Linked DNA regions of Mytilus edulis. The protein of the gene in region 2 interacts with the protein of the main gene of each other region in a pairwise test. Links are inferred from orthologs where the notes say so. Each region holds a gene or a part of one and is shown on either strand. Other genes may lie near its edges.

Region 1 (8,067 bases), on a different chromosome or scaffold from region 2:
TATAACACTATGTGTTATACTAGTAGTCTCAGTTTATAACTATGTTAATGTTAATTATATACATGACATAATAATTAAATCATTTAAAAAACTATTCCAAAGATTTCTCTAAAATCATGTTTACATTTTTTTAGAGAAGAGTCTGTCTGAAATATATTCAGGGGTAGTCCAAATAATTATGACTTCTTAAAAAAATATATTATGGGGAAAAAGGGGGGGGGGGGGGGGTATATTATGTTTTTTTCATACAGGAGGAAGACGTCAAAGCAAAAAAAAAACCCAACAAAACAAAATAAAATAATAGCCTGTCAAGACGTCCTTATATCATAATAGAGGGTCTGGATGAGGGGGTCTGTTATTCTGTAAACATTTGATTTTCACCCCTTTTTTCTCTAATCTTTAAAAAATTAACCCCTTTTTTCTCTAATCTTCCAAAAATTAACCCTTTTTTTCTCTAATCTTCAATTTTTTGGCCCATTATTCTCTAATCTTCATTTTTTAAGGGCATTATTCTTTAATCATTTAACCCCATCCATCATAATAATTTGGTCTAATTTTGGGATAATACATTTAACTTCCTTTGATGTCGGGGAGGGGATAAGTTTTGACGATTAATTATTCTTGAAACTAACAATAATTATTTCTTATTGTTACTTTGTTAAGCGAGCGCGATGTGTGGTTCTCGAGTTATTTAAAAAAAAAAGGGGGGGGTTGTTACTATATATCAAATTTACCCAGTTTGGAGACAAGAAATATTTAAAATCTAACCATAAACTCCAATGTTCCTGCTTTTTTTAGCAGAACAAACACGATGGCATTCTCATCTCTGTTATAATCAATAGTTAACTCATTTCTTCTTCCAGGTTATTTCTTAATCAATTATGATTATCAGCTGTCTATCTATTTACCATGTTTATGTTAAACTGGTCCGTAATTCCATCGTAGTGTATCGATAAGTGAACACAACAGGGATCCAGTTTATTAAACGTCTGTAAACCGAGGTATATAATACAAGGTTCCTGAGTCAGTAACCGTAACTATCACCGTGCTTTGTGCGCATGCGCAATAAACACCAACAAGAAGGATAAAACAAGGTACACAGTTCCGTAATTTCGTATATTTTTCTTATCTTCATACTAAAGAGCTCCAAAAGTAGGCGTGCTTAAGTGCACTGGGCGGGTCTAAAAACCGACTCTCGGTGGTTAACGTCTCTCGATGGTTAACTTTAAGTGCCTACCTTGGCCCAACTGTTCAGGGTTCAACCTCTGCGGTCGTATCAGGCTGCGCTCAGCAAAGTATTTTTATTGTACCATTAATTAGTGTCGGATAAAATTTCTAAAGTACTATAGTTTGAATTTTGCATTCATTTATAAAAAATTAAAGTTGATTTTGTATTTTTAAGCAATAACATATATTCAGCAAGTAACGTAAGTTGCACATTTTATAACCGTTGGTGCAATTTCAGATCCAATGCTTAATGCAAAATTATAACATTTTTTTTTGGACATCATTGATCATCATTACTTTGAAATATAGAAGAGTAAAATTGAGAATGGAAATGGAGAATGTGCCAAAGAGACAACAACCCGATCATAGAGCAGACAACAGCAGAAGGTCACCAACAGGTCTTGAAGGTTTACTTGATGATGGCCTGAATTTTTTTATATTGACTCGGTATACATTATTTAGCCTTGCACAAAGGCCGACACAAATTTTATTTATATAAGCGAGCGGGGGTATCACGTGCATTTTTACGTCATACCACGGCTCCCATCCGTCCGTCTAATGGAAAACTGTGTTCCTTTTTCATATATAAGATACAATTATAATTCTCAAAGCGGTATATATCAAATATGTGTTTGCATTAATGCAAACAAGATTAAATAATTGATTTCAAAAAGTTTTCTATTTAAAATTATATTTAGTAATGTAATAATGTTAAATAGTTAATTAATAATTAATCATTACATCATAAGTTCAAAATATGCTTAAGATACAATTTAGGGGAAGTAATTGCATATCCTTAATTTCGAAAATTTGTTCGGCAAGTCAGAAATATACATGTATGCAGTTCACCAGAGTTAAGGTTTATCTATACATTTCTACAATGTGAAATATTCTCTGCATGCAGAAAAAAATGTGTTATTTCAATAGTTTTAAATCCTGGCAGCACCTTATCTGATCTGCAGATACCACAACCAAATGATTGCAATGGACAAACTGGTTTTATGTTTCAAACTAGTTTGCGAAAAGTAAAAAACAATATTATTGCACTCCGAGCAAAATTTAAAACGGAAAGTCCCTTACCGTAACATCAAACAATTGGATGACTCTAATTGGGGGTCATGGATAACAACTGTCATATTCCTGACTTGGTACAGGCATTTTCTTATGTAGAAAATGGTGGATTAAATTTAACCTGGTTTTATATCTAGCTTAACCTCTCACTTGTATGCCAGTCGCATCAAATTCCATTATATTGACAACGATGTGTGAACAAAAAAAAACAGACATAAGGTCACAGACCACAATTAAATTCCTCAATTAGTTCTTTATAACGTGTTGTTTCATGATTAAAAATAATGCACCTAATTCTTTTTGTCCAATATTTTCTGCGTGTTTCTATGGTTGGCCAGACAAGTGTCTGTAGGATTTTGGTAACAGTTCCTGGTTCCCGAGTATGGTTTGCTGTTTCAAATCGGGCAGCTCTTCCTTGTACCATCTCGATTTGGTTTATGTGGCACCTTTTATATGGGCCCCACATCTCAGATGCATACTCAAGGTGGGGTCGAACTAATGTTTTGTATGCGCTCTCTTTTATATCGGAAAACCTGTGTCTGTGGTATTGTCTGGTTGTTACGGTTGGTCTCTTGATATAATCTGGAATGATGACCGATGTTTCTCCATGTAGGATGTTATACGGGAGTATAAGCCTGGCTCCTTTTCTGCGTGTACATCTTGTGGACACTTATTTACGTTCCTTCTTACAGCAGGAAACATAGGGGTCCAAAGAACGTCACCTGGGATACACCGGAACGTACTGCTTTCGTCTCACTAATTTCGCCTTCTACACAAACTCGTTGATTTCGTTTGTAAGCCATGCGCTTATCAAGCTCAGAGCATCTCCTCGGATACCGTAGTAGCTCATTTTCTGTAATAGCCGCTAATGTGGTCTGTGTCAAATGCCTTTGAAAAATATAAGACGAGCTAGCATATCTACTTGCTCTATCATATCCAAAGATCGTGCGACTGAATCTATGATGTTTACTGAACAGTTGAGTTTCACAGGAGCAATGTTGTCTGGAACCGTGTTCGTAGTCCCCTAAAATGCTTTTTTTCCAAGTGGTACATTACATGGCGGTAAATGATGTGTTTCATTGTTTTACAGCATATAGAGCTTAGAGAGACGGGCCTGTAGTTGAATGCTCGTGTGCGATCACCTTTCTTGTAGATAGCTGTGATGTTAGCTAGATTCCAGTTAGTGGTACTGTCCCAGATACCAAAGCCGGTCTGGTAAGATATGTTTGTCAGGAATGGTGATATTTTGTCCGCTGCCTCTTTTAGGATCCGAGATGGTATCATGTCTGGCCCTACAGTTTGTTTTATGTGTCCAGCTTTCTAAGTAGTTTGTTTATGCCATTTGCTGTTACTCTTAGTTTGTCTTTGTCTTCGATTGCTTTTTCCAAGAGATAGCATTGCATTCATATTTTCGTCTGTGAATACACTATCATACTGTTCATTAAGTATAGCAGCTGTCACCTTCCTGTCTTTTACTTCTGTTCTTCAAGGTTGATATATGTTGACTGTGTCTTTTTACCTGGACTAGATGTTGTATTACCAGAATTTCTTTCCCATGATAGGCTTTTTCTGTTCTTCATTACCATTGTCATCGTTTAATATGCCACTGATGTATCTATCGTGGGCCTCTCACATGGTCTGCTTGACAATACCTCTAGCTGTTGAACAGCTATGTACCCCCCCCCCCCCCCCCCCCAAGTGTTCTGATGTATCGTATCTTTAAGCTGTATTGTATCTGCCTTCACGTTTTCTGGTTAGTCGCTTGATGGTTTGGTTCATCAAGGGCACATCTTGTTTTCCACTGATGGTTTTTAAGGGACATGTTTGTTTACACTCAATTTTTGCACCAATGATAACAAGCCCAAACACATCAAACGAATATTTTTGACTAGCTGAACACATTTTCGAAATTGATAAAATCTAGTTATTTCCCCCTAAATTGTATCTCAAGCATATTCTTAAAATGTGATATTATGTTTTATTAGATGAACTGCTGCAAGATTTGGTTATCCGACATTGATTTTTACATATATCCATATGGGTCAATTAATTTTTCCCAAACTAAGTTAATAGGGGGTAGGGGGGTCAGTGAAAAAACTATTTGAATTAAGTTTTTTATCCTTCATTGAACTTTTGATGTCGTCCCTAAGGCTCATGGTATATCAATTACATAGTTGGTCAAACATAATAAGTATTGAAAATAATGACTATATTAATATGTAATATTATAAACAATGATTATGAATTAGACATATTGACAATTTTATAGAGTTTGTTCTGCTTTACGCAGGTTCAAACTGTCTGAGATGAAAGAGGAAGTCAATTTTAGGATTGTGTATGAATTATTATTTAATAAAAAGATTATATTATTTTCATGTTTTTTGAAATTTTGTAGGATCAACGATTATATTTGAAACTTTATGGTGAAATTTTCACATCGTAAAATTAATTAATGTAGCTAATAATTTTTTTTTTTAAATCAACTTTAAGTAAAAAAAACATTAAAATATCGAAAATGTTTTATCTGTCCCCTACAATGGCTACATAGCTTGTGAATGTTCCCCACCAAGGTTCTTTATTTTGGCAATCGATCGTCTTTCATAACGTAATATGTCCGGAAAAAAATCACTTGTGTTTCGAGAGTGGACCGAAAACTAGAATAATATAGACTGGTTGAATAGTTGCTTTCTCATCTCCTCTACTCGCCTTTCCATTACTGATGTAAACAAAATCCAGTAAAATCAGAAGATTGAACTCGTACTATGTCGTCTTTAAGGAAGGTTAATGTTTGTTTATTTACACTGTTAACGTTCAACGTCCCAACCATATGTCCCCATTCAGTGAGTGATTCAGGAACTTTCTATTTTTAAAATGCATTGATCGTCTAAAAAAAGGGGGGGGGGGGGGGGGGGGGTGGGGGTGGTCCAATCCACCACCACCCGAACCCAACCCCTCTGGATCCGCCACTGAATGTGAATTAAACAAAAATGTATGTGGTGTTTGCTTACACCCTCGTTCTTCAGTCTCTCAGTGGATTTTTTTCTCATTTGGCAATCATGTCGCATCTCTTATTTTTCTTAAAGGTCTGTCAAAAACTCAAACATTAGTCATTATCCAAAATTATTATAACGAAATCAAAACAATAAAGATAACATTCAACAAGGTTTTCAAAATATTGACAGTTACTAGTGTAAAGTATCCAGCTGAAATTCCATCCGGCAGGAACATGTTACAGAAGTTGTTGAACATTATTTTTTTATCCAGAGGAAAATATTTCACTGTGATATATTTTCCATTGCCATGAAATTCTATCTAGGAAGTTAAAATATTGAATAGTTAATAAAAAAAAAACTTAATCTTTTCAAATACTTTGGATTAATAATAGTGTATTTCAATGTAAGCTAAATTGTAAATAAAAAACAAAATATATGTATTAAAATCGGAAATAATTTCACGTTGATAGTGGGTCTTCCCATTGATAGAAATGAATCCGGGTCTGTTCGCGCCCAATTGCGTTCGCACCCATCCACACCCATCCACATTCGCCCCCATTCACTTTCGCACCCCACATGTTCGCACCCAAATTTTGCGAAAAGTCCGTTCGCACCCCACACGTTCGCACCCAGTTTTACCGATTTTTTGTAGGTGTATTGGTATAAATATATATGCCATTGTTTCTAAATAATTCGAGATACTGACAAGTCTTTTTGTGTCATGACAAGTTTATAAAAAAAAAGTTTTTGTTTTTAAGTCTGATTCTGATATTCTGGCAACAATAACAACAATTTCCTTTTTGTGTTGAATAATTCTTAATCATGTTTTGGGTAGTGTATTGAAATAATTTGTTTTTCACTGTTTCTAGTCAATTAAATGCGAATCTGACAACATGTTGAACAAATGGTATGCATGGTTTTTTGGTGTCAAAGGATCAAAGGAGCCAAGCTGTTAAAAACAATTTTCTTTCATGTTTTTTATTTAAAATCTTCAAAGTTTTACTCCATGTACTCATACCAAGCTAAATACATGCAGTATTTACATCAAAGCAATTTAAAACAACAATCATGATTTATAAACAGTAAACAATAACACCAAATTAGGCTGTGTATAAATACCAATTAGCAATAATCATACATAATCAACACTTAATAATTAATCATCAAATTAATAAAAAAAAAAAAATTCTATTCGATAAATTCTCAAATTTTATTCAAATAGAATACAATTATTTGTTATATTCATATAAATAATTTCTAATAATTTAACTAAAATTTTATTAAAAATTGGGCGCGAACATGTAGGGTGCGAACAGACATGGGGGGCGAAAATGTGAGGTGCGAACGTGTAGGGTGCGAAACTATATTGGGCGCGAACAGACCTGATACCGATAGAAACAAGTGCCTGTGGATAGTATTTACCTGTGAAATATTTTATGTCTTATTTAGTAATGTTTTAATTCATCTGTTTATATAAATTAACAGATATTTTTTCAAATACTTTGGATTAATAATAGTGTATTTCAATGTAAGCTAAATTGTAAATAAAAAACAAAATATATGTACATGTATTAAAATCAGAAATAATTTCACGTTGATAGTGGGTCTTCCCATTGATAGAAACAAGTGCCTGTGGATAGTATTTACCTGTGAAATATTTTATGTCTTATTTAGTAATGTTTTAATTCATCTGTTTATATAAATTAGTTTAAAAAATTAAGAATAAAGGAAAAATTTTAATATGAAATAGATTAATTTACGAAATATAATATCTAAAATATAAATGGCTCATAATTACCTCCCTTTGATTGATAGATTATGCAAATATGAACTATCTTGGTGAAAACATTTATAAATATTTGGTCAGGTATACATATTGATTGTGAGTTCCTCACATAGTAGACAATGGGACTCTATTTCACAAGGTTCTGTGAAATATGGAACAGAAAATATATATACATGTACATTGTACTGGTAAATACTATCCGCAGAAGACAGATAGAATTTCACTCCTATGGAAAAAAAATCTACCTGTGAAATGCCATGTCTGGAAAGAAATTATGGTGACAAATTATCCAATTATCCCCAGGATAACATATCACAGAGGAAGAAATAAACTGTAAATGTATATGGAAATGTGGTTGGGTAAAACTAACTTTTGTACTTCTAGATCTCAACCCTCCCCCTTTTGAATCTCAGTATAGATTAACAGACGTAGTGTCTTTTTACCACAAAACAGCACAGAATACCACAGAACACTCAAATTATACCACAGAACTACACAAATTACAATAAAACTACTGAAATACACAACAGAACATTAAAATTACTTTATAAAATGAAAATCTTATTATTCAAAATTATATTAATTCTTTGAATCAGGTTACACCAATGACATGACGATCAACTGAATGAGATAAAAATTATCATAATTGTTTTGTTATTTGGCATATTTTTTTTTATGTTTGGAGACCTTTTAAACACTCAACTAACATTGGCATAATTAAACTCTAAAATAAACATTTAAAAAAATAGTTTTGAGAAAAAAAAAATTACTGCACAGTTTCCACAGTCACCAATCAATATACACGCTTTGAATAAAATGTGGTGTTCTGTGATAATCTGTGGTGTTCTATGGTAAAAAGACACTCCCATTAACAGAACGTGCAAAAAAGAAAACACAATAAACATGATAAAGACAAGTATTAAAAAAACACTTTTCTCTTGTTTATTTAAGGGTATATATACATTGTACTACACATTCTAATTTTGGTAC
Region 2 (7,765 bases):
CTATAATGTACTTGGCCCTTTAGTTCCAGAGGAAAATACTTTGTAAAAACTAATGAAAATTGTTAAAAAGTGACTATAAAATGCAATAACTCCTTAAGAAGTCAACTGACCATTTTGGTCATGTTCACTTATTTGTAGATCTTACTTTGCTGAACATTATTGCAGTTTACAGTTTATCTCTATCTATGATAGTATTCAAGATAACCAAAAACGGCAAAAATTTCCTTAAAATTACCAATCCAGGGACAGCAAGCCAACAACCGGTTGTCCGATTCATTTGAAAATTTCAGGGCAGATAGATTTTTACTTGATAAAATTACCAATTGCCATTTTGAGGTTGAGGGCAGCAACACAACAACCGGTTGTCAAATTCATTTGAAAATTTCAGGGCAGATAGATATTGACTTGATAAACAATTAAATCCCTTCAAGTTGTCAGATTTGCTCTAAATGTTTTGGTTTCAAAGTTATAAGCCAAAATCTACATTTTACCCCGATGTTCTATTTTTAGCCATGGTGGCCATCTTGGTTGATTGGCCAGGTTATCGGACACATTTTTTTAAAACTAAATACCCTAATAATGATTGTGGCAAAGTTTGGTTAAGTTTGGCCCAGTAGTTTCAGAGGAGAAGATTTTCGTAAAAGATTACAAAAATTTACGAAAAATTGGTAAAAAATTACTATAAAGGGCAATAACTCCTTCAGGGGTCAACTGACCATTTTGGTCATGTTGCCTTATTTGTAGATCTTACTTTGCTGAACATTATTGCTGTTTACAGTTTATCTCTTTTTATATAATAATATTCAAGGTAATAACCAAAAACAGCAAAATTTCCTTAAAATTACCAATTCAGGGGCAGCAACCTAACCAGCTGTTGTCCGATTCTTTTTGAAAATTTCAGGGCTGATAAATTTTTACTTGATAAACAATTTTATCACACGTCAGATTTGCTCTAAATGCTTTGGTTTCAGAGTTATAAGCCAAAATCAACATTTTACCCCTATGTTCTAATTAAGCCATGGCGGCCATCTTGTTTGGTTGGCCGGGTCACGCCACACATTTTTTAAACTAGATACCCCAATGATGATTGTGGTCAAGTTTAATTTGGCCCAGTAGTTTCAGAGGAGAAGATTTTTGTAAAAGTTAACGACGACGGACGACGACGGACGCCGGACGCAAAGTGATGAGAAAAGCTGACTTGGCCCTAAGGAAAATAGCACAATTAGTAAAAAGAAAACAGAAATAGATAATAATCCCCCCCCCCCCCCCCCCCGAGTTCATATATTATAGGACTAGTTGACAGGGACTGTAAAGTTTCATTTTGAATCAGTGTGTATTTAATTTTCAATGTTTATTAAGTATTATTAACTAATAAATACAATTTGAAAAGATTACTTGAATTTTCGGGTGTGGCTAACTGGCGGAAACGGAAAACGGAACGGAAAGAAATGTTTATATGGACGGAATATTTTAAAGGTGAGAAATGGAAAAAATACGAAAAAAATTACGACTGAGTATAAATTTTATGAAATCATACAACAATTATGTTGACAATAGAATAGGATTTAGATAGCAAAGAAAATAGCAAACCATTTTGGAATACATGACATTGATAGCTAAACAAAAATCAAGATGATAGAAAGAGCACGTGCCATTCATCGTAGAGAAAACAAGTAAATGGGTTAACATTGTAAAAGACTGGTTAAATAAATTAGGTTTTGGTCATCTCACTTTTAATACTTTTAATTTAAAATATCACATAAATAGTATCCAACAAAGAATCTATGACCAGGCTTATCAAATTATGAATTGTTCTATCAATAAATGTGAAAAATTAAATATCTTTTGTCATACTAAAAGAATTAGAAAAAGGCCCCCATATATTGATATATGTAAATTCAGAACCGACCGATCAGTTTTCAGTAAAAAACTAAGTGCGCATTCCCTAGCAATTGAAAGAGGGCGTTATTCCAACATTGAAAGAAGTAAACACATTTGCTTATCCTGTAACAGACAAGAAATTGATGATGAATACCATTTCTTCTCAATCTGTCCATGCTATAAATCATTAAGGGATACCTATATACAAAATATTAATACAAATTTTAATTTCAATTTTATTAAATTGCAGTCCACTATAACACTAAATCATTTGACTGTACTTTTAAATAGCAGTCTACCAGTCATTATAAAAATCACCATAAAGTATATTAATGATTGTCTTTTATTAAGAACATCTGTATAACTTTTTTTAATATGCAACCTAATTTTTGTTTGTGTTCTTTTTTAATTGTTCATGAACATTAACAATGTGTTAACTGTTGATATTTATAGCCTTTTTCTTCTTCGCTGTGAATACCACTGTCACTCTAATATAATTATAATCAATTAATTAACTGTTGTCAATTTATTGTCTCAATTTTGTATGCCATAACCATTTAATGTAAATGTGTTTGTGCGAATAAAATATTGTCTATACTCTATTCTCTATTCATCTAGGTTAATGTGCATCTTAAACAATAGAAACTCTCCAACATTATAACCTTGAATAGTTCATCATAAAAGTCTCTCTATCTTCCTTCGTGTTTATTATTTTCATAATCATTCCGCCCCTGCACTTGTTGTTTCCTGTTTTCTAAGAAAGATTTTATCCATTTCCTGCAGAGGCAGATCCAGCCATTTAAAAAAGGGGGTCCTAACCAAGGACAGAGAAAAGGGGGTTCGTTCCAACTACATTTCCCCATTCAATTGCATAGATCGTCCCACCCCGGCCGCCCCCTTTTCAACCGTCTGGATCCGCCACTGTCATGTTTGAATTTGTAAAAGAGAACTAGACCTATCTTAATCGTCTATTTTCCAGTAATTACCAATTTATGTCCATCATCATTTTACCAGAAACTGGGCTATTATAAGAGGGGGGGGCCGGGCCTTTTTTCGGAACATCGTGTTCGGGTGTTTTTAACTTACGGATCGGGATTTTGGGATTGATCCTTAGTTCAGAATCCGGGAATTATTGTTTCTAATTTCGGAATGTCGGTTTTTAAATGTCCTGGACCTCAGAATTTCATGTTTTAAGCCCAGGATTTCCGCGGAATCAGAACCCTCTTATGATAAGAGACTGGGCGATTGCGTCAAGGTGCCCGCGGGCGGGCTGCTATTTTCGAGCGATAACACCCCCTTTTCCATCTTAAATTAATGTTCTATACAGCAAAATTCATTCAATATAATGTATTATATATATGTTGTGTACAAGTTATCATTTTGTACAAATTATAATTTTAACAAAAAAATTGTACAAATTATAATTTGTATTTTGACTTTGTACAAATTATAATTTGTACAAAAAGTGCTTGTACAAATTACAATTTGTACAAAATAAGGCTTAATTTCACTTATAACTTGTACAATAATAGTAAAAAAAATGTACATGTATACCAAATCCTAGAATTTTAAGTGATTGATTGGTGGTTGCTTAACTTGCAATAGCAAATCTTTCATGCATGTTCATGACGATGTATCAAATTATACTATGCAGTATTACATACAGAAGATTGCTGTCACTATGGCCGCACATCAACCTAAAATCGTAACTATATGATCACAGTTAATAAGGGTGTACAAGTATTATTTAAAGAACATTAGGTCACAAAACAGGAGACCATATGAACTTAACTGTTTCACAGATCATTAGCCGGAAAGCTATACGCATATTTACAACCAACTGTGAACAATGTATCTTGAATCGAAAACGTACTGACATATCAAAACTTATTGTTAAACCTATAATTTCTGCTGACTTCAACTGTAAAGGTTGACCTTGTAGACCTGCAATCTGCCAACGACCATGAATTTAAATGGATAATGCACTATCAAGATCATCTTATTAAAAGCGTCCTTAGAGCTCTGAAATCTAAAAGAGCTGCTAAAGTCGCTTATAAATTACTTGACATTTTTCTTCTCTTTGGTGTGGAAGTAGGAAATTTTGGCTATGGTGTAAGAACAATAGCTGGTAATTTATCAGGAGTCTTAAGCAGAAACCAACTAGAATCAATCAGTGACTCTTCTTTGTCCGTTACACAAATTCCAGATTGAAACTTTCCCTAAGGGAAGCTATGAATTTTTGTTTAAAAACTGGTGGACAGGGTTATCTCTCTTGCAAATGTAAAGGCGTTTGTAACAATTCGAATTGTAAATGCAAAAAGCAGAATGTATTGTGTAAATCAAGGTGTCATGGTTCGCTCACCTGCTCCAACAAATAAGAGCATTGTATATTATTGTATAGTATTGTAAATAGAGTTATCAGTGTGTCTCATATTGATTCGTAATTAAAATGAAAATGATTTTTTATCAATTAATTTGAAACTTATTCTATGTAAAATATTGTACAAGTTATAAGTGAAATTAAGCCTTATTTTGTACAAATTATAATGTGTACAGGCACTTTTTGTACAAATTACAATTTGTACAAAGTCAAAATACAAATTATAATTTGTACAATGTTTTTGTACAAATTATAATTTGTACAAAATGATAACTTGTACACAACATATATATGTCTCTGTTGAAATCCATTAAATTCCAAAAAACCATGACAACTGAAACCAAGACTTAAATTGTTGAACTTATAATATTATGCTCCGATAATACATTTTGATGTGTTTTCTTTCGGAAACTATTAACACTATACTTTAAAACACGACTGAAACACATACCATATTTAAAATTAAAAAGACGGAACTTCAATGGTACACGGAACTTGGATTACAATTAGTTCTGCTTTCATTTTCAAGAAAATGGCTGGATCAACAACAAATTTTCCAAATGTTCAAAGAATACGAGATATGGTTCGAAATGACCTTGCATCCCTGCTTGATTCTGTACGAAATATCAGATTTAAAAGTGTTTATTACATACATTGTACCACAAGTATTATGACATTGAAAACGAGAAATCACAATAAATCTGGAGTGAAGTTAGGATATTTTACTTTTTGGCCTTAAATGATTTAGTGGATTCGGAGTTCAGAGAGCTCTGTTTTCTTATCTGATTTTCTGTCGAATGCTTAATTAGAAATAACTTGAAACTCTGCATTCACACTGTTTAATTGAGACCCCTTTAAAAAAAAAACAAGTCTAGATAACTTGGAAATCCATGTTGGAGATGAAATTTTGTTATTTCTGTTGACCATGTTGACAACATGTACATGTAACAGGTTGAGAACCACTCCAAATGAGGGGCATCACAAAAATATTGGACTGCCTCTCTGAGACTTAGAGATAAGGGGATGTTTTGTTTTAGTCTAAGAAAATGAAAAAAAAACTAAGATGTACAAGTACTAAAAATTTCTAGAATTAAACTTCTTTCTTAATCGATTTTTGGGTTTATAAGACTGTAAAAAAATAATTTGAAAAAACCCAAAAAATGAACGAAAAACAATTGTATGTAACTTATAACAAAGGACAACCACTGAACTATAGACTCCTGACTTGGGACAGATACATACACGTGTATACAGAATTTGTCGGGGTTTAACATATTGGCAGGATGCAAACCTTTCCCCTAACCTGGAACAGTGGTGTAAAAGTAAAACATATGAACTATAAAAAATCAGTTGAAAGAGGCTCCACTCATCTGATGGATTAAGCAGGATACAAATAGAAATACATATTACAAAAATAGCCAGGAACTTGTACATCCCAATTGCAACATCAAAAAGACTCTAAGTACTGAACTGAGAGTACTCACAGTTTTTGACAGCTAGTTCAAAACCACTAAAAGTTCACATTTGCTTGCCTTGATGTCACTACCCACAAACATAGTAGGTAAACAACACCTTATATTTATATTAAAATTTTAAGAAAAAAAATAAGTCAGCCCTTTTTGCCTGTTCACAAATTTTGAATGTTCACATTTTTATGTCAGAGGCGGATTTAGGGGGGCAGGGGGCCCGGGCCCCCTCTTTTTGGGAAAAAATTTGGTTGCTTATATAGGGAATCATTGAAGCATGACTGGAGCGGGCCCCCTCTTAGGTCCGTCAGTGGGCCCCAACTTATGAAAATTTCTGGATCCGCCACTGTAGGTATAAATGAAAACAATATTGATTACAATAATGTATCTCTAAGATGTTAATTTACATTCATATTTTAATTATTTAAGGAATGACTCTAATATTTTTTCTGTCTATGAAGAAATAACATAAAAAATTTGGTTCACATTGATTAACGCGCGTAGCGGGTTATTTAACAGTGAGCACTACATTTTTTATGTTATTTCGAATAGACAGAAAAAATATTGCATTCATTTCTTATAATTTAATTCTAAATTCCAATTCTAAATTCCATGTTAAACTGTAGAAAACCATGAAAAATGTTGATGACGTCTCGGTCATATGACTAAATTATGTCTATGGGCTGATAACAAAATAACGCCAGCCAATCAGAAGACGCGTTACATCCAAAATTAAATTATTTCATTATGTATAGACATTTAGTTTGATGAAAAGAAATTATAAATAGAGACAATCTGGTAATTTAAGAATTATTATTTTTTTAACAGTTCAAAGGAAAGAAAGATTTAGTACTGGATAAAGAGCTTATGAAACCATTAGACAGAGTGGCTGGAGCTACAATGCTTAAGGTATTATTATAACGGATATATTATTATTGATACTATATATAAAAAGGAAGATGTGGTATGATTGCCAATGAGACAACTCTCCAAAAGAGACCAAATTGACACAGAAATTAACAAATATAGGTAACCATACAGCCTTCAACAATGAGCAAAGCCCATACCACATAGTCAGCTATAAAAGGCCTCAAAATGACAATGTTAAACAATTCAAACGAGAAAAATAACTGCTTTATTTATATAAAAAATGAACCAAAAATAAAAATGTATCACATAAACAAACAACAACTACTGAATTACAGGCTCCTGACCATATTCCCCAGTCCTCATACAAAGCTATAACAAGTTCCTTTTTAATAATCTTTAAAATGTGATTCACCTGTACCCATAGAATCCACAAAAATTGGTATTTAATAAATATTAATCAATCCAAAGTATGAGTAATTGGTCCACTATATGTATACATTTTATCATGTTTATGGAATGATATTTACATTTTTATGATTTCAGCAAAGAAATGTACTTTAATCATGATTAATTGGTCCACTTTTTATTTTATATATAGTTAGTAAAGATACCAGGATTATAATTTAATAGGCCAGACACATGTTTCGTCTGCAAGCTAAAGCTTGCATTACACCTGTTTCTTAACCTCTTACAAATACAGCTGATATTTAATTACACTATACAGTTATTGTAAAATTGAGAAAGGAAATGGTGAATATGTCAAAGCGACAACCACCCGACCATATAGCAAACAACAGCCGAAGGCAACCAATGGGTCTTCAATGTAGCGAGAATTCCCGCACCCGTAGGTGTCCTTCAGCTGGCCCCTAAAATATGCATAATAGTACAGTGATAATGGACGTCATACTAAACTCCGAATTATACACAAGAAACTAAAATTTAAAATCATACAAGACTAACAAAGGCCAGAGGCTTTTGTCTATATAATTGGCTATAAAAAAAGAGGGACGAAAGATACCAAAGGGACAGTCAAACTCATAAATCTAAAACAAACTGACAACGCCATGGCTAAAAATGAAAAAGACAAACAGAAAAACAATAGTACACATGACACAACATAGAAAACTAAAGAATAAACAACACGAACCCCACCAAAAACTAGGGGTGA

What was found. The genes of interacting proteins can lie anywhere in the genome.
Region 1: the proteins of vacuolar protein sorting-associated protein 33B-like (region 2) and spermatogenesis-defective protein 39 homolog interact in binary tests that used the Homo sapiens proteins (3 or more experiments, as listed by UniProt). The link is inferred for Mytilus edulis from reciprocal best matches to the Homo sapiens genes VPS33B and VIPAS39.

What each region holds. Positions count from the first base shown.
Region 1 is NC_092346.1:44,774,930-44,782,996, reverse strand, and holds the start of spermatogenesis-defective protein 39 homolog, read left to right. Parts: upstream 1-4,947; 5' UTR 4,948-5,060; coding exon 5,061-5,078; intron 5,079-8,067.
Region 2 is NC_092347.1:44,636,068-44,643,832, reverse strand, and holds the start of vacuolar protein sorting-associated protein 33B-like, read left to right. Parts: upstream 1-4,721; 5' UTR 4,722-4,742; coding exon 4,743-4,877; intron 4,878-6,555; coding exon 6,556-6,636; intron 6,637-7,765. UniProt on the Homo sapiens protein: May play a role in vesicle-mediated protein trafficking to lysosomal compartments and in membrane docking/fusion reactions of late endosomes/lysosomes.